Tribolium castaneum: one gene and its partner. The protein of the gene in region 1 binds, or shares a complex with, the protein of each later gene. Links are inferred from orthologs where the notes say so. Each region holds a gene or a part of one and is shown on either strand. Other genes may lie near its edges. The genes, in order: Cyfip and Hem.

The links.
Region 2: Cyfip (region 1) and Hem share a complex: the UniProt entries of both Drosophila melanogaster proteins name them as parts of the WAVE complex. The link is inferred for Tribolium castaneum from reciprocal best matches to the Drosophila melanogaster genes Cyfip and Hem.

Annotation. Positions count from the first base shown.
Region 1 is NC_087403.1:2,178,272-2,188,310, reverse strand, and holds Cyfip (cytoplasmic FMR1-interacting protein), read right to left. Parts: upstream 6,558-10,039; 5' UTR 6,399-6,557; intron 6,346-6,398; 5' UTR 6,296-6,345; coding exon 6,083-6,295; intron 6,030-6,082; coding exon 5,850-6,029; intron 5,801-5,849; coding exon 5,288-5,800; intron 4,873-5,287; coding exon 4,262-4,872; intron 4,219-4,261; coding exon 3,920-4,218; intron 3,880-3,919; coding exon 3,797-3,879; intron 3,751-3,796; coding exon 3,434-3,750; intron 3,388-3,433; coding exon 2,819-3,387; intron 2,772-2,818; coding exon 2,580-2,771; intron 2,534-2,579; coding exon 2,235-2,533; intron 2,188-2,234; coding exon 1,949-2,187; intron 1,904-1,948; coding exon 1,756-1,903; intron 1,709-1,755; coding exon 1,511-1,708; 3' UTR 1,336-1,510; downstream 1-1,335. Other genes in the region: Duba (OTU domain-containing protein 5-A), read right to left, coding at 1-142, 190-682, 729-817, 1,084-1,152. UniProt on the Drosophila melanogaster protein: Plays a role in guidance and morphology of central and peripheral axons and in synaptic morphology. Also required for formation of cell membrane protrusions and for bristle development.
Region 2 is NC_087400.1:5,882,214-5,892,454, forward strand, and holds Hem (membrane-associated protein Hem), read left to right. Parts: upstream 1-5,241; 5' UTR 5,242-5,407; intron 5,408-5,456; 5' UTR 5,457-5,470; coding exon 5,471-8,839; 3' UTR 8,840-9,010; downstream 9,011-10,241. UniProt on the Drosophila melanogaster protein: Plays a role during growth of the oocyte.

The DNA of each region.
Region 1 (10,039 bases):
AAACTTCGATTGTCCTATTATATAACTCGCTCATTGCTTGTATTTCTAAATGGTTGCCATGTACGTTCCATATACGTTTCCGTGCAACGTATTTATCAAAATCCTCCGTCACGTAAGGTTCAAAGTAGTCACGGTTTTGAACCTTCCAGAAACAAATTAGAAAAAATCCCCACTTTGCGTACAACTTACGATGTAGTTCATGCAGTCCTGCCTGACTTGATAATGGAATTCTTGGTCGCCGTACACTTGGTCTGCTATCGACCGGAAGAGACAGGCCCCATCTTCGTTCATTTGCTTGATTTCGAACCCAAGGTTGGACATGCCGCGGGAAAATAACACGTCCCTTTTTTGCCACTCTTCATCCGGTATGTTCCGCTCTTTGAGGAGTCCCTGGTCATCGTACTCATCCTCGCTGTTGAAGCCCGTGTAGTCTTCCTTGTTCGCAGTCCCAGGTTCGTTGTTGTTGCAAGTGGGCTCAACAGCGACTGAGTCAACAACCGAATTACTCGCATTATTGTCATGTAGAGGCTCATTTGAGATATCGCGTTTAGCAACTCGTTCCCGTTTTTGTTCCCTCCGAACTTCCCGTTTTTGTTCGCGCTCGCGTTCCCTATCTCGCGCCCGATCTGGCTCTTTATATCGCTTCCTCAAACGCTCTTTCCGCTCAGTTGTTGACTTGACGCTGGAAGCAAGAATGAATTTTTCCGCGATTGAGGGTGGAAACTTACTAGGGGAACTGAGATCGGCGGCTTGAAGGGCTTGCCTCATTCAGAGAACTTATATCGTCTCTCCTACGCACCGCTCGCTCGGAATTCCCCTAAAAAAAGTCGGGCCTTAATTATTCGAACAAAGGAAGCCGACCTAGACAGCTCTTGAGCTAGTATTGGAAAGCAATCATTACCTACCTATTTTACATTATTACATTATTAAACCTATCTAATTACGCAATCGTGTACAAAATTTCAAGATCAAGCAAAGATTTCGCTAGTCCAACACGCTGACAATAAAGATAACACGATTTATGATTATGAAGTTTCTCCTTAAAAAAAGATCAAAAATGACAAGTTTAACATATCTACTCACATTTTGCTGACTATTGTCGCTTTTCTCCTCCGGATTCGCCGAAGGTCTTTTGGCTGGTAAAATTGTCATTGTCTAATTTTTCAAAATACAGAAAATACTACAAAATTATTGAATTATTTTCTATAGTTTGACAAATCTCTCAACTACTGTCAACACACGACGAACAGCTGCTATCAACAGTCACCAGCGGGACTAAGTCCCCGGTTGGCAGCCCTGAATTTGAAACAACGCGCGAAATAAAACACACTCAAGCAGGCATCGAAAATTTTATTATGAAAAATTAAAGCAATACCAATAAGGCCGATAATAAATGAGGGTGGGCGATACATTTGTAATGAGATTTACACATGTAGTAGGACTATAATAAATATAAAAGATTATAAAATGTTGAAAGCTGATTCCAACAAATGTATAAAATAAACGTGCTTCAACACTGGCGTAGATGTTCGGGTGCGTGGTAGTGCTGTTGCGGATTCATTGGGTAGACCGGTGGCGGGAAACAACGTACATGTTCAACCGACAACTCGTCGTTCTCACTCGACTTCAAAAACTTGTTCAAAATCGCAAAGATCTGCGAATTGAGCACTTGGAAGCGCCTGATCCTGTCCACCATTCTCTTCAAGCTCTGGGAAAGACAATTATAGACCGAAAACAACCGTACAACCAACATACAATGCCTTTCACAATTTCATCCTTCATGTCAACTCTTTGTACTCTCAGAATGTGGTAACAGAAATCGAGGGCCTCAAACCGCCTTTGCTGGTCCAGAAGCACGATCATTGTACACCCCGCCCAATGCAAACCTTCGCCAAACATTTCCCTGAAACACGGAATAAATAAAACGAAACATAAAGTCGGTACCCACTCGACAGTATATTCGTTCTCGCTAACTGGAATACAATAGACGAATTGTAAAGCCGACCACAAGCGATGGAACTCGGTGCATTCGTCAACGTTCATGACACCGTTAGCAGGCGGCGGTCCGACCCAAACCGAATCGTCCAGGAAGGTCCTTAATCGGTTCAAAACAACTTCAAAAATCGAGAGACCGCAGCACAGCCGCTCACGGGTCAATAAATCGCCCTCCTTCGATATCAAAGATTGCTACAAATTGGCGAAATAACAAACAGTTGTTTGCACATTTATCCAACCTTTGCAGTTCCTAACTTCTCTATATTTGGTACAATCTGCAAGGCGGCATATTTGGCTTCAAGCCGTTTCTGCTTCGTTTCGGGCTTCTCCCCTTCCTTGCAAAACGGCCGTGGGAGGATATTCTGAAACGGTGCCGCTTGCAACAAATCACAGACTTCCTCCTGTGACAAGGCCTGTTCCATCAGTAAACAAAACAGGATAATGTTCCCAAATTCTCGGAAATTGTGGAACAACTCGGTCCTGGCATCGGGGTATTGGACAATGTCGTTCAATTGGGCGTGGTAGTAACTTAACACACCTAAAATTCGTCTTATTAATTCCGCCCAAATCAAGCAAATCATTACCCGGTGAGCCGTAATCGTAACGTGGCAATTTGCACTGCTTTGGCATGACCTCCATTAGAGTTTTGGTGAATTGGAGGAGGTTCCCTTGGATCAGACTTTTGACAATTTTGAGGAGCTCCTCCATCACAACTGCAATGCCTTGATAACCCAAGAGTTTGCACATTGTGTGGAAATGCTGAGGCCCGACGAACCCTAAACCGTACTAGTTAAACAAAATTAGGACCATAAGCTAGATTTACCGGAATATTGGCCATACTGAGTCGTGTAGGCAAGGTTCAGTTGCTTGCTCCCCCACATGTAATGATGCGACATTTGCGGCGGCTTATCTCTGTGGACAGCCCCCGCGAAAGCAATCTGCCCCCGATACTTAGTAAATCTGTTCGTCGCGGCATTGTAGACGTAATTAGGCAAGAAATCGTAGTTCAGCTCCCAAAACACATGCAAGGTGATGCGGCCATAGGGCGCCAAAACGTTGTGATTAGCCTCACGATACATTGAATCGAAATCGTCAAGTGCGAGCCACTTGCTCAGCAATTTATGACACAACCGATTCACTTGTAGGAGGCCTTCCAGTTCCATAACCCCGGTTATGTCACCGCCTTCGAACTTACTTATTGCCAAATCGAGACTTTTCTGCATGTCGGTGTTGATCCTCTGAGTGATCAACTTATTCAAATCGATCGACCGCCCTAATAACTGGACGTGCCGCTGTTTTAGCAAGGTTTCGTAACGATTTGCTCGCGGGTAGGGGAGCAGGTAAGCCCCCAAGGCGGCACACTCCACTCTGAAGCGCTTATCAAGAAAGATACTGAAAGGATTGATTGTGAAAGCGTTCCCATGATTTTTATCAATACCTTGCCGCCAGTTGTTTATAGTACGCGAAAATTTGCTCGCTCAGTTTATAAACAAACTGATCAAAACATAAATTAACTTCAGCCTCGACCTCATCGTATAAAAATTGCTTTCGGAATATTGTCAGTGCGTAAAGCGCGCTATCATTGTATAAATCAAGCGGGTACAAGACGTACTCCATCATCGAGGGTTCCTTAGTTTTCAAAATATGATCAGTCAAAATCCAAGGCATGGACATGTCGATTGGGAATTGTATGCGTTTTTCCATCGTGATCAAATCGTTACATTCTTCGTTATGAGCGTGACGCACGGTGCATTTCTATGAAAAGTTTGGCAAATTTTTGGCAAAATTACGCGTTACTCACGTTTATTCTCCGTCCCATGGTCATCTCGAGGTAGAACTCTCTGTACCACAGCTGCGACAGGTCGCAACATTGCTGCAACGATTCTGGGAGGAAATGAATTAATATCAATGTTTTTGTACGTACCACTGAAACTGAGAAGATAATTCCAGTAGAAGGAGGTTTTGTGGAACTGGTCAATTTGCATTAAATATTGACCGTCTATGTCCTTCCTCAGGGTTCTTTTGCCGCCTGATTTATCGGCAATTAGCGACTCCAGCATTGTCCTGACCATGTAAAGTTGGGTGGAGGAAGGACCCACGTTTCTCCTTGGCACTTTAACATTAAACCCGTTATCGTCCTTTTTGCCCCTCAAAGCCGGGTCTTGAGTCGGCTCGACACCTCTCTGCCAATCAGCGCAAGTTTCTCGCACCGACATAATGATACTAAAAAAACGTGTTACGTGATGTGGACACAAAAACGCGCTACCTTCTGATAAGATCCTTTTTATTTTTAATTGCTTTCCTCAGCGGTTCCCTCAAAATAATCTGTACGAAATCTTGCAATTCGGCGTAAATATTCCGCCGAATTGCGTCAGTGAACACCGTTTCCATTCTGGCCATCAGCACTTGTAATCCCTTAATCATCGCAATGACTTCAATTAGCGCGAATTTTTCCTCGTCGCTGTAATTATACCGTGTCGCCCTTTCGTATTCCTCGGCCTCTTGTGGGCACTCTTTATTCTGATGGTGGTCAGTTGGGTGTAAAAGCTTCCATGAATACAGTTCCGTTACAACACTTGTCCATTCAGACAGTAATTGTAATCCGCGGAGCGCAAGTTCGGCCGTTTCTTTATTTTCAGCGTCAGTACCGCTTTCTTTGTATGTTGTCGTGACTTCGTTACTGTATCGCGCTAATTCGCTTATGTACTTAACATGATCGTCACGAATTTGGGGCAAATGTACCATTAAATCGGCTTGGGGAGAGGGAGTATTGCTACTTGATAAAGGCCATTTGCTTGGGTCGAAATGCTTGCTCCGCTTTATGTAGTTGAAAGGGGCGATCTGCATGTCCCCGAACAAAGGGACAACCTCCAAGTTCTACGAAAAAACGGGCTTTCTCGTATTTTGGTCAAATGTTGTAGATTTATAAACCAGTCGTGATTTTATTTAAGCATTAAATATAAAATTTGCCACCGATCTGGCAAGAATGTTAAGTCAAGAGCTTACTCATTATACAGTTTCTCTGATTAATTATTGAAAATCATTTTTGACGTAAGTACACAAAATTTAAACTTTATAATCTGAATATACAAAGCGATTTTTGAGAGTAAATTCTAATTTTGTTTGTAGTTTGTATTAAATACACAAAATTGTATCGTCACGCAGATTACGTAACTATGCAAAATTTCAATTCATTCGGATAACAAAAACTAAAGGACTAATTGAACTAATTTAAGCTTGAACAGAGTTATTCAATCAAATGCGAGTTGCTTTTATATTTTTTGCCACTCACTTTGAAAATCCGGTCAATGCGGTCCAGCCTCAATTTCTTCTTCTGGTCTAGCTTATTAATATTGCACAACTCGCTGTCCATCAGGAAAAGCCCGAAGCCCATAACTTTAACAAGCATGTGTTTTTCGCTGGGTGTGAGGTACATTTTCGTTTCAAACATGTGCACGCAAATGTTGACAACATCAGCTAGCAATTCCTCATAGCCACTGATTCGTTCCAGATTCTCCTTAACAGCATCCCTAATTTTATTTTGTGTGGCTAAGAACATCGATAAATTTTGTGATTCTTGAAGTGTTTGTGAATCAGACATGACTTTCAAAAATTGTGCTGCTCTTCTGTATGTGGAATAGTCGTTTTTGACACTTGATTTCATGTTTTTTAACTCGTCTAAGACGGCAAACATGTTTATGAACTTTCCCAAAGTGAGGAGATAGGCTTCTGAGACAAAGTCTTTCCTTTTTTCGGTGTGACATAATCGTTTTACTTCTTCGAAAAACCGCTCGATTGCTTTTTTCTGAAATGATTAAGGGAGTCCTAACCGGGTTGAGTTAAAAGGGGCTTACTTGAAAATACATAAAGTTCAAGAGTTTGTTCACTTCGGGGGCGAGCACTTCGACAGTTTTCTCGTAAATTTCGACCCGATTTGGTTGTTCGTTAGATTTGGGCTGAGGAATGGCTCTAGAGCAGCACCTCCACGTGTAGAGCATGACAGCATGCTCCTGCCCTTCCTCTAATAACTCGTTCTGTAAATGACCTGACTGACACAGGGGACACAAATGGCTCATTTAATAATTACGAGACTTGCGTGTACTGTTGCCTCTTCAATGTATTTGGCAATTCCTGTCACAAACCCGTTCCGATCTTCGAAATTTGTATCAAAATTCGCCTGATAGACAACTGAGCAAGGTTGGGCCTCAATGCACGGTTGTTCATCAGGCAAAGGAAGTTCGTCTAGTACATCAACGTTGGATAATGCGTCACTCAGCGAAACTCGATCAGTTCCTGCCATTTCAAGCACTCCACTTGCTGTTTTTCCAGAGAGAAAATAATTTAATCAATCTGGAAAAAACCAAATTTGAGACTGCAGTCAATGGAACCACACAAAAACACACTCTTAGAAACATGGCCCAGAACGTGGCTATTTGTTATCAACAACAAACTTAACTAATTTTGTGCTATTTTAGAAATATTTAACATTTTTAGGTGCGGCATTAGACAAGTAAACAAATGACAAATATAAAACTAGAGTGTCAAGAACCCCATGCAATAAAAGTTACTAGGATTGTGGCCATATTTCCGGCCGAGTTAGTTGGAACGCCAACCAAGAGGTGGTGCGCTCAGTTAAACGTTCAAATATATATTAAAGAAAAAAATCGTTACACCGAATTGATTTCCTCGCCGTGTAATTATTTTTGATAAGTGTTTTTTTCTATATTTGGTTCAGAAATTACTCAAGAACACTTTCAGTTATTTTAGTCCACGTTAGTAGAACGCAAAAAACTTTCCTTTCAATTATTTTAGAACAAAAAGTGCATGAAATTGTTAATAGAATTGTTGCAAGAGCACAGTAATATTGTTTATTCTCATTTCGATATAATTGTATGGAAGTGTTATCACATCATATCAGTTAAAAAATCGAACGAATAAAAAAGTTGATTTGCAATATCGCCAGTTAATTTAATGAATTTTCGGGCCGCAATCGGGTCCTTTAGTTTGGTATTTTAGTGCCAAAGGAGCTCTCAGTGAGGAAAATAAAAAAGTTAGTGTGCAGTCGAGTTTTAAGCGACAGCTTGTTATGTTTATAATTCCGAAATTCTTAGCGTTTCTTGTCCTTTCATCATTCGAATTCATCTGAATTCGTTAGTGCTTTAAAAAATCGTTGAAAATCTATCTCGGTGAAACATTCATGACATTTGACGGTTTCGGCGTGAGCGGCCGCTCTTTATGCGCCTTCATAATAAAATCAATCATTTTTTAGTCGCAAATTAATTAAAAAAGTGACATTCCTAAACAGCTTGTTATGTGGTTACAAGTAATAAAGCCTGTTAATTGATTAGGTTTTAAATGAAAATTCTCTTTGAAAAGATACCGGCAAATAAAACAAAATCATTAATAATGAAACGTAAATATTGTATGCAATTTGCTGATAACAATGTTATTATCTTTAAGATTTTTTTCATCGGGGAATAAAGTGAGCGTATGCCATTTGTTCAGTTTATTAATTATCTCTATTTATTTTACAATTTATTATAATAAATTTGCATGCACTTGTTCATTAGTTTGCGATAAATTAATTAAACAGCGGGTTCAAGAATGCTATTTTATACAAAAAATTAACACTTCTACTTACATTTTGTCTGCCAAACGACTAATTAGCCGACTTTCTTAACAATTCATAAAGTCCTTTATAGATTTCTAATTTTGTTTCCGTTGCTGAAAACTGAATAGAAACTTTCTTGCACCGCGTTTGTTTTTATTTGAAATCTAATTTGCGCGAGGCGACCTGATATCGCAAATAATATTAGTTTTGCTTAAATTTGTCTTTCTATAAGTCGTAAAATATCGTTTCTTTTTTGCAAATTCTGACATTTAGTTGAGAAAGTTAATTTTCCGCGTAAATAGTAATCGCGAATTTACATGAACGCTTAGATTATTTCATTGTTGAAATATGACTTGTAATTTAAATAAGCGTGAAATAATTCTTGGAATAATATTTCCGAAAAACAAATATTTACATTATAATAAAAATATGTTTCGCATTTTAACATCCGAATTTGCCCGGTTCAGGGGTAACATTTACATAACTACTAATGTGTGGCCATATTTCGGATCCGCTAACTATTAATTCAGAATTGATTGCCATTGGATGTTGTATTTCAATGCACGCAAAAACGAAGATGGAAATAAACAAAGCACGTCGTAAGAGCGACAGATGCGCGAACTTATATTGACATTTCAGAACGGGTTCATTCAAAATATTTAATATAATTTAGTAACTTGATATGGCAGTCTAGTGTCAAACGGTCAATTGAAAGTAAAAAGGGACCCCAAACAAAACGCCGTCGCTTTTCATCCGGAATTAAACCGAACTTAGTTCTCGGGGTTTAAGAAATCACATCCTATTTGTCACATCTCAATAAAAGCACAACAAATTTCAGGAAACGGCTCTAAAGCACTTGTTTTTATTATTACTTTATTATTAAAATGTTAATGTTTGTCGGGGAAGAAATCAAGTCGTTCCGTGTGAAAGCAAAGCCGGAGTATATGAGGCAAAAGCGGTAGACGCGAAAACAAGTGTCAAATTATAACACGCTTGATTCCATTCTGCTCGCCTGGAATGACGGACTGTCACTGACGCATTGCTGGTATTAAGTTCCTATCAGCCAGAAAAACGCTTCAACGCACCTTAACACGTCCACACTTGACCACCGCCGGTCTATTCCAAAACACGCGTGCGACAGAACAGAGCTTTTAATACCGCAATCAAATTGGAGGTTTTGCCATTTATTTGCAGGGCTAAAATCACATCAAGTACACGCAAATATACCAAAAACGAAGTTAATTGAATATCGATTTAGAATTAGGACCTGTGCAAACCCATTTCTGGATATAACGGCCGCTTTTTACAGAATGTGCCCTCCATAAAGACGTTAGATATCACTTCATGGACGTACCGGATCTAAATTGTTCTACGAGCACTTCACAAAAACATTTGCCGGTTTTTGTCCCGAAAACTGGAATTAGGAAACTTGGACTGAAATTTAAAAAATGTTTTCGTCTTTGTATGTATTCACTGTTTAGATTTAGCGACGAGGTGCTGCACGAATGAAACATGCAATTAAATCACTTAAACTCAAGCGGTGAATTATGCCACACACTTTGAAAGAACTTCATTTTTTGAGTGGCATTTAATATACCGTAAATCAGGATTACTTTGTTTCGGGATGATGAGTTTTAACCACTGCCAATTTTCTCTTGTCAAAAACCCACTGGTAGTTTTTTAGCAATATAATTCTTTAGAGGTAACGGTGAAAAAATATTTTAAAATCTGTGCGTTTGCTTGAACCGATATTTTTTCACAATACTTCCATTTTAAGATATCAAAAACAATAATGTTAAAGTGAAAACAAGAAACAAGTTTCAAAATCTACAAATTTTTAGCACTAGTCGTCTTGGGTAAAATATTTCACATTTGTTCAAAAAAAGATTATATTGTCATTTATAATAACATCAAAAATCATTTAAAGTCAAAGCCAGTAAACTTATTTAAAAAAGAAATAAAGCTAAACTTCAGTAATTATTCTTTTGCTGTTGTTTTCATTTTGTATTTTTATTGTATTATTATTATGTTTTACATTTTTTCAATAGTATTCAGGGCACATATCTACTTTTTTTATTATTACTTAAAAATTATTATGAGAAATTCGTCGTTTTCAACCAAACATTGTCGAGTCACTGATTTTTTGCTGTGAAATTGTGGAAATGTTTAACTAATAATTTAGTTAAGACTTGAAATTGATATACTTTGGGGCGAATTGTGAATGCCCCAGGAGTCCTTGTCTGCTGTTTGTTTATTTACGCAGCATAGGCGCCGAGAATTTGTACTTGTGGTACTTTTAGAGAGATCATAAACAAACCGAAATAACTGAGATGTGGTTAGATTAAATGTGCCCCTTTGTTGCGCTGTTAAATCGAGCGATTGTATTATTCGGTTTTGCTAATTAAAATATTGTGTGCAAAACGATGTTAATTT
Region 2 (10,241 bases), on another chromosome or scaffold:
CTCCGGACTCATATTCCGTTGATGTAAGTTTAAAGTATCCACTAACACTCCGCTGGATGCAAAAGTATTTGAAAAAACTGAATAAACATCTTGGTAGGAAACTAATCAAGACTGGAGTCCGGGCAAATTACTTTCGTTAATGGGCGCGTTGTAAAATATATGTCAGAAAATGCGCCGTGTTTCCGTAATGACTGAAGCGTTGGTATTAAAAACGTGCTTAGGCTCGCTTCGCCTACTCCAAAGACCGTATTAGCCAAATCTGCACGTCGTCGTGTATCCTGGCCAATAGCCTTGTATGCTCCTTAAATCTGAGGATTTACCCGACGAAAACGTGAGTCGAGAACAAGGTAACACAAATGAAAGCGCTTCTGCAGGTGTTTTAAACTTTAAACATCACTGCACACATATTCGGTTTCCTTGTCAGAGACGGGTTTCAGGCGTGATTCTCAACCCAACGAAAAAAGTAAATAGAGAGGGTTTATGGCTTTCGAAATTGCGATGAATGACGGGCTGACTCGGGAAACACAGCCAGAGCTCACGACCAGGAAGAAAAATAATCAGATTTGACTAAACTACCACTAAAACATTTGTACTAAGCATTATCATTAATTGGTTGATATCATTTACTAGAGCTGCAAAAAATGAATTGTTTTTAAAGTAGTGCAAATGTAATCAAATCAAAGTGTTTTATATTTTTGTTTCAATAAAACTTTCTCGATCGATATTTTAAAATACAATCAAATATACCAAGTATCTATGGAGCAATCACGTTATCTATTAATTGTAATGTTGGTTGCTTAAAAAATTATTTCAGGCTTATTATTACTCGTGGACCATCCTCTATAGTTTGAAATGTCGATTTATTTAAAAAGTTTGTGTTAAAATATCTGCAAAAGACGGTCAGTACCTGGGGCCTGGTAGCTCAGTGGTATAAGCGCCACTTACGACGGGGGAGGTCGGGTGTTCGAACCCGGATCAGGGTACACAATTTTTCTATGAAAAAAAGTGTAGAAAAGGTAAGGAAACAACACGTAAGCAAAAATAAGGAAATGAAAGAACACATAGACGTATAGAAATAGAATTAGAAATAAGAAAATAATACGGCAAAAAGTAAAAGTACATAAAGGCGCCAAATTGTAAACGTAAGAGCACATCCTAATAAAGGGAAAATACCTTTTGTTTTGAGAGAAAAAGAGATGAACGTAAAGGTGAAACATAACTTCAAACTTTAGTTGAATCCTTAGATGACTTACTTCTTAAATTATAAAAAAATTAAACGAATATATTTAATTTATCTCTAGAAACTTTTAGTTAACTGAGTTTGTTTAGTTATGTCCCAAAAAACATTGTTAATAAAAATCATGGCCACTACGAATCCAGTAGGATTTGTGCACGTCCACTATTTTTGACTAGAAAATACACAAATTTGGTGATTTTAAGAGAAATTATGTCCATTTTCGGTCAATAACGTGCTGAAAGTCACAAAAAAAATAAAAACAATTTTAAAATTATAGAATCAACTTATACACCCGGTATCTTTTGATGAAATCTGGTGAAAAATTAGAGAATTAAATTGAAACAAAGTGGAAGAAAATGTTTTCTCGAGCTAATTCGCCGACTTTTGAACTGAATGTATTTGCGTTTTAGGTGAATTATTGCAATTATATAGTATGTAAAGTTGATTTATTTAAAAAGTTTGTGTTAAAATATCTGTAAAAGACGGTCAGCACCTGGGCCCTGGTGGCTCAGTGGTATAAGCGCCACTTACGACGGGGGAGGTCAGGTGTTCGAACCCGGATCAGGGTAACAATTTTTCTATGAAAAAAAGTGTAGAAAAGGTAAGGAAACAACACGTAAACAAAAATAAGAGATTGAGAGAACACATAGACGTATAAATGTATAGTGAAGCATAAAACTGACAGAAATAAGAAAATAATGCGGCAAAAGGTAAAAGTAAGTAAAGGCGCCAAATTGTAAACGTAAGAGCACATCCTAATATAGGAAAAATACCTTTTGTTTTGAGAGAAAAAGAGATGAACGTAAAGGTGAAGCATGACTTCAAATTTTAGTTGAATCCTTAGATGACTTACTTCTTAAATTATAAAAAAAATAAACGAAAACATTTAATTTATCTCAAAAAATTTTTAGTTAACTGAGTTTGTTTACTAAAGTCCCGAAAAACATTGTTAATAAAAATCATGACCACTGCGAATACAGTAGGATTTGTGTACGTCCACTATTTTTGACTAGAAATACACAAATTTGGTGATTTTTTGGGAAATTATGTCCACTTTCGGTCAAAAACGTGCTGAAAGCCACTAAAGAGGTAATAATAATTTTAAAATTGTAGAATCAACTTGAACGCCTGTATTTTTTGATGCAATTTGGTGAAAAATTAGAGAATTAGATTTAAAAAAGTGGAACAAAATGTTTTCTCGATCCAATTCGCCGACTTTACTACACTTTTCTTTCAAAGTTTTGTATTTTTGTTTTATATTTTTTTGTTTTTTAAAATCACAGCAAATCACAGTGACTAAAAAAATTGCTGCCTGCCTTAATACGGCATTAATAACGTTTTGTGTTTCAAACATGGACGTGGCTAAACGTTTACAGAGTGATTGAACATTTCAGATTATAATTAATCCATTTGCTGTTGTTTTTAATTTCGTCTAACTCAGTCCGAGTTAGTGAATTTATTGACGTATTCAAATTGCGTCGAAATTCAAATTTCCAATTCAGCGAAATTTATAGTAATTAAATGTGATCGCGACATGACAGATTGAGGTAAATGTGAGCTAGCAATATACACATAAATGTACATACATTGTCCAATCAATATTGTTATCTCTTCGTGTGTACACTGGGCCCTGCCATTAATAAATTATGCAACATTTACTAGCACTGCTTGTCGGAAAATGTCATTTTCCCCTCCGAGAAAGACTCCCTGTCAACATGTTTTAATTTTAAATGCGGCGCCGCCAACTCACGATAATGACCGTTCCGGTGGAAAAGTGATTACTAAGCTTCCGGATGCAACAGTCGCTGTTTAAAAATTAAGCTCTTGGCAAGATGCACAAACATAACGAATTCTAAAATCTTGCCAAGGGATCTGTTTCATAGCTCCAGCGGTAAGTGAATGTAACGGCGGAGTTTAATGATTGAATTCGCAAAGTTGAATGAAAAATTCGCAGAGCTTTTAAGTAGACAATAATTACACAAAGTTGGATAAAACTCTCTTCGAAATTATAATTATTTCTCCGGCTTTATCCCGCTGCAATTAGAATATTAGGTGAAAAGGAGTGATGAATGGCTTTAATTCTATAAGAGTTGCAGAAATACTTTAAGGTGGCGCCACCGCTCGAAATTCAACCAACTCTATGCGATATATAAAACAATGTTATATTTGTGAACCCGCAATAAAATTTTCAACGGTTCGCGTCTTGCCAACGTTGTAAAATTTTTATTTCTGCGTCATTATAATTCTCGAGATTTTTTCTTGTAGATTTATAACACAATATACCAGCGAAATCTTTTAATCGTGGCCTACTTTACCCGCAACTGATAAGAAAAATAATGCATACGTTACTTATTATTCACTTATTGCAACAAAGCCGGAGCTTAAACATTATTTATCTTGTTGTGTAGTTATTAAAGTGTCAAGAGACAACTTATTTTTCCTTTCCGTCGGTGTTTTATGATTTCTATAAAATGATTTATAAGGCTACTAGATTTGCATAATACATTGCAACGCCAACGTTTAAATTCTTTTTTTATTTCGCCGAATCAATCTTTATTTGTTTTCGGAGCAAGAAAACAGCACTCACACCTCCATTATAAAAGTTTACGGCGCCACTTGGGTTACTCCATTGGCCATCATTTATACGTTCCTTAGCAACACCTTTGAAAACAAACACGACTGTCAATTATTGCACAAAGTTTCCTCACACGGTGGGCTGTAGGTAAACAAAACGTTAAACTTTCAAAGTTATTTATTTTCCAAGGTAAATATTTAAGAATTAAGCTTTTCCATGAAGGACAACGAAGCCGCTATTATTATACAGAAATGTGTCAGGAGATATTTATCGAAGAACAAGGCGGCTACGAAAACAAAAACAGATAAGAACCAAAAGTAAGTCAACAATTCCAAGTGACGCATCTTTTTTTATATATTTTTTTTAATTAAAACAGTGTTACCCATGACGAAATAAAACAAGTCCTAGAGGAAATTCATTTATTTCAGAAGAAATTACAATCAAATATGAAGAAAAAAGACGAAATCAAGAAACTGTGTTTAAGCATTGATGAGATTTCCACGGAACTAAAATCGATAACTAAATTAGAACACTGTAAGCAATTAGAGACGTCGTTTTCCAATGAAACGTACGAAAAAATTCAGCAAAAACACCGGGAACAAATCGGGCAAATAAATTCAAAATGGTGGGAAAAATTAGATATTTTCGAGGATCAATAATTTTTATGACCGATTGAGTTACCAAATTTTTTTTAACAAGTGTGTGATAATTATGTATACAATGTTACCCAGTTGAGTTTCAGATGTTTTGAAATTATAAACTTTATTTAATAAATGTTTAACAATGTTTTACCGAATTTCATTTTTTGTCTGTTGCCATAAATTTAACTGTTTGTTCATTTATATTCTAACTGTCTTGTACGTTTCTGTGAATGTACTTTTCTAGCCTTGGAAAGCTCCCCAAAAAACTCGCAGTATGCTCTGATATTTTCACGGATGTTATAGAACAATTTTTATCATTGTATTCAAAGGCGATGTGTTATGTGTGTTGAACAACAAGGAAGACATTTCCAACAGTTTTTAAATGATAATAAATAAATATTTTAATAAAAATTTGTTCTTTTTAATTGTCAAAAAGTATGAGAGTTATGAGAGAACGAATTTATCACAAACATAAAAAATAATTGTTTTTTAACTTCGCAGCACACTATTTTTTTTAAGTAATTATTTGTTATTTCTGGAGTGTAAATTTTAAATTTAACGTCCATCAAAGGTCAATATCTCTAATAAGTAATAATAAACCAGTTATGAAGCGTTTTCGGATCGTTGACAGCCTGTACATTTCAAAAACTAGAGCCCTTAAAATCTGTTTGCAGTTTTGAAATCAGCGTCCAACAATTTCTTAACAACAACAAAAAATATTCAGTAAACTTTCGCCATTTATTTTGGTGAACTCGATGAGCTCGCGCAATCTACATTTTACACTTCAATGGCTCCAAACTGCCATCACAACCGGGCTGAAATCCCTAGCGTCACCGCCTTGTTTCTGACGTTTATCTGACATTTCGTTAACCAACAAATCAAAATATCTCATTTTACCAAAAAAACGATGAAATAACACAATTCATCACTTAAAAACTCACGTCCGGGTCGAAGGTACGCCCAACACTTTTTTTACAGTTTCATAACATTAAATAATTAACAGGAAACTAAATCAAAATGGCCCGTCCTCTCGCCCCCAGCGAGCGGAAAATCGCCGAAAAACTCATCATCCTCAACGACAGGGGCATCGGCATGCTCACACGCATCTACAACATTAAAAAAGCCTGCGGAGACGCCAAATCCAAGCCGGGGTTTCTCTCCGACAAGAACTTGGAGTCTTCGATCAAGAGCATTGTGCGGCGGTTTCCGAACGTCGACAGCAAGAACTTGACTGCGATTCAAGGGCTCAGGAACGAGATAATCAAATCTTTGTCGCTGTATTACTACACGTTCGTCGATTTGCTTGATTTCAAAGACCACGTTTGCGAGTTGTTGACTAGCATGGGGGCGTTTCAAATCGAGCTTGATATTTCGCTCAATTTCGAACTCACTAAGCATTATCTTGACTTGGTGACGACCTACGTGTCTCTGATGGTGTTGCTGTCGCGGGTTGAGGACCGCAAGGCCGTTCTGGGGCTTTTTAACGCCGCTTATGAAATCGTGCATTCCTCGCCCGATTCAAGCTTCCCGCGGTTGGGCAACATGATCATGGAGTATGAGATTCCGTTTAAAAAGTTATGCGAGGAGTTTGTGCCCCACACTAAGCTGCTTCTAAGCGCCTTGAACTCGCTTCTACCCATTTATATCGCCCGGAATGTCTCGGCTGATAAATGGCGCTCTGAATTGAAGTTGAGTCTAGTAGGCAACCCAGCTTCGCTCCTCAAGCCGGTGATAGCCGACCGGATGTCGTGCGAGTACGTCTCGCTTGATACCATGGAACGCTGGATTGTCTTCGGTTTGTTGCTAATTCACCCGCACTTGCAGCAAGATCATTTGAATAAATTATGGATCAATGCGCTTGAGTCGTCTTGGGTCTTGCCCCTGTTCCGGGACGAGGTTATCTACACCCATCAGTACATCTGTGGGTACTTTGATACCATCAAGGGCTATAGTAAAAGGGCGTCCGAGGTTAAGGATTGCCACAGTCAAGCGATACAAAAGGCTGGGTACAAACACCGCGAACGCCGAAAATTCCTAAGGACGGCCCTCAAAGAATTAGGCTTGATTTTGATGGACCAGCCGGGGCTTTTGGGGCCGAAGGCCCTCATGGTCTTCATGGGTTTGTGCTACGCACGGGACGAGGTCTTATGGTTGTTGCGTCACAACGACAACCCACCCCAACAAAAAAACAAGGGTAAATCGACCGAGGATTTAGTCGATAGACACCTGCCAGAACTCCTCTTCCACATGGAAGACTTACGGGTGTTGGTCCGAAAGTACAGTCAAGTCATGCAAAGGTACTACGTCCAGTACCTCTCACACTTCGACGCCTTGGTCCTCAAAGACATGATCCAGAAAAACTTGGGTTCGGTGGGCGAAGACGAGTGCATAATTCTCTCCTCTTTGTGCAACACCATCTCGGGCCTTTCGGTCAAACAAGTCGAAGACAACGAAACGTTCAACTTCTTCGCCTTCCGCTTGGACTGGTTCCGCTTGCAGGCGTACATGTCCACAGGCAACGCCCTCTTGCGCATCATGGACAACAAAGACCTGGCCCAGTTTTTGGACACCGTGCAATTCCACACGAAAATGGTCGACAATCTGGACGAAATGCTAGTCGAGACTTCGGATTTATCAATCTTCTGCTTCTACAACCGCATTTTCGAGGACCAGTTCCACATGTGTCTGGAGTTCCCGGCCCAGAACCGCTTCATCGTGGCCTTCCCGTCGATCTGCTCCCACTTCCAGCACTGCACGCACGAGCTGTGCCCCGAGGAGCGCCACCACATCCGCGAACGCAGCCTGTCGGTGGTCAACGTCTTCCTGGACGAGATGGCCAAGGAAGCCAAGAACATTATCACGGCGATTTGCGACGCCCAGTGCAAGATGAGCGACAAGCTCCTGCCCAAAAACTGCGCCCACTTGATCTCGCAGCAAATGAACCGCAAGAAGAAGGAGAAGAATAAGAAGAACACCCTCGAGATCGAGAAACCGGGCAAGGAGAGTTACAGGAAAACGAGGGAGAATTTGACGACTATGGATAAGTTGCACATGGCTTTGACCGAGCTCTGCTATGCTATTAACTACTTCTCGAATATAAACGTCTGGGAGTATACGTTCGCTCCTAGGGAATACTTGCACCAGCACTTGGAGAATCGCTTTGCGCGGGCTTTGGTCGGCATGGTCATGTATAGCCCGGACACTAACGAAATCGCCAAACCGTCCGAGCTTTTGGTTAGCGTCCGCGCCTACATGAACGTGCTCCAAACGGTGGAGAACTACGTCCATATTGACATAACCCGGGTTTTTAACAACTGTCTCCTGCAACAAACCCAGCCTGTGGACAGCCATGGGGAGAAAACCATAGCTGCGATTTACACCCAGTGGTATTCCGAAGTGTTACTGCGACGTGTTAGCGCCGGCAATATAATCTTCTCGATGAACCAACGCTCGTTTGTTTGCCTCACCGCCGAGGCGGCGATTCCGTTCAACCCCGAGGAGTATTCAGACGTGAACGAGCTGCGCGCCCTGGCGGAGCTGATCGGTCCCTACGGTATGAAGCAGTTGAGCGAGACGCTGATGTGGCACATCGCCAGTCAAGTCATCGAGTTGAAGAAACTAGCCGAGGCCAACAAGGACGTCCTTTTGCTGCTCCGCACCAACTTCGACAAGCCCGAAGTGATGAAAGAACAGTTCAAGAAGCTGACCAGCGTCGAGAACGTGCTCCAGCGCATGACGATCGTCGGCGTGATTCTGAGCTTCCGCCAGTTGGCGCAGTCGTGCCTCACTGATGTCCTGGAGCAGAGGATCCCGTTCCTCCTGAGCTCGATCCTGGATTTCCGCCACCATTTGCCGAGCGGTGACCCGCTGAAGGTCGTGAGTGAGATGTGCTCAGCGGCGGGGATTCCCTGCAAGGTGGATCCGACGCTGGTCAATGCGCTCAAGTTGCAGAAGCCGGAGGTGGACAGTGACGAGCACTTGATCACCTGTTTGCTGATGGTGTTTGTGGCGGTGTCGATTCCCAAGCTGGCCAAGCAAGAGCAGTCGTTTTATAGGGCGTCGCTTGAGGGGCATACGAATAATATTCATTGTATGGCCTTGGCGGTTAATCATATCTTCGGGGCGTTGTTCACGATTTGTAATCAGGGGGATATGGAGGACCGGATGAAGGAGTTTCTGGCGTTGGCGTCCTCGAGTTTGCTCAGGTTGGGACAGGAGGCTGATAAGGAGGCCACGAAAAATAGGGAGAGTGTGTATTTGTTGTTGGATCAGATCGTGCAAGAGTCGCCATTTTTGACGATGGATTTGTTGGAGTCGTGCTTTCCATATGCGCTGATCAGGAATGCCTATCACGCGGTGTATAAGCAGGAGCAGTTGTTGGCGTAAATTAAGTATTTATTTCCCGTACAAATTTTATTCATCATTTAGTACTATCAAGTACAACACAATTGTATCACAATTCCTATTTAATTAGTTTAAATACATTATGTTAAGTAACGAGCATTTATATCATGATATTGTAGTGTTACAACATGTATTGTAAATTTTTTTATATTCTGTACGTCTTTTATTTTTACTAAACCATTAACACGCTTATTTCATCTTTCGTTGTTTCCAATTATGAAACTAGGAAGAATAGTGTAACAAAAAAATGAATACGAAGATGAAACAAATCTTAGGAACTAAAACTTTCTTTCTGGCGTTTTCCATGTACAGGGTGCTCAAAAACTGGCGCACCAACTCAGTGGTGCGTTATTGAGAAGCAAGTGCAGATTACGGTAAAAGTGTTGAAAAAATTCCTAGTCATATTTAAACAATCTAGAGCTACAAACTTATTGTGTTAACTTCTTTAGTTTTCATTATTTTTTTATATTTTTATGTTTCATGCCAGGTAATCGTTCCGTAACAAAACGATGAATAATCAGATTTTAGCAGTTTTTTTAATAAAAAAAAATAAAATTCATGCAAAAAATCACAATGTGTAGATGTGCCAACACTTGGAATTAATTCCTAGGAAACCGTTTCAAAAACAATTTATTTTTATTGTTGCTTAACTATTGCGATCATGACTATTAGACAACGTTGCCACATATCATTTATCTAATATGTTCGAATTTTTGATGTTTGATTTTTTCAATTTTTGTCGCGAATTTTGTCGATTTCTGGTACCCTGATAATTTATCAAGGAATAATTCCGGAACTATTAGAGATAACCCCCTGATGTGTCCTATCTTTGGAAAGCTCTTTTAATGATCTATCATTTGCAAAAAAGATTATTGTTGTCCGACTTATAGTTTTCGAGAAAATGCAAATAAAAGCAAAAATTAGATCATATACTCAAAAGTTCATAACTAAAAAACTATTGGGAATTTAGCGCTTTTCTTGATTCCAATCGATTCCCCGGATCATTTTGCATAGGTATGAATCAAAATAGTTCCACTTTTTAGAATAGTTTAGCCGTAAATGAGAAAATAAAAAAAATTGAAAAAAAGTTAACACCCCCCCCTTAGAAATCGGTCAATTTTTAAAGTGTCTCAAAATCAAATAAAACCGATTCTATCTTATAGATTTTGATGTGCTCTTTCCGATCTAAAAAAGCGTTTTCTCCTAGCTCTTTTAGTTTGGCCGTAATCGGCGTTTGAAAATTGAAAATTTTTGGGAGATATCGCCTTGAGTCCTATGCCATTTTGTAGAGTTTTTTATTCCGGTTATTCTCCATTTTTCCGTTTCTCGATAACTCTAATAGTTTCGTCGTAATTGGCGATTGAAAATTGAAAAAAAGTGAAAA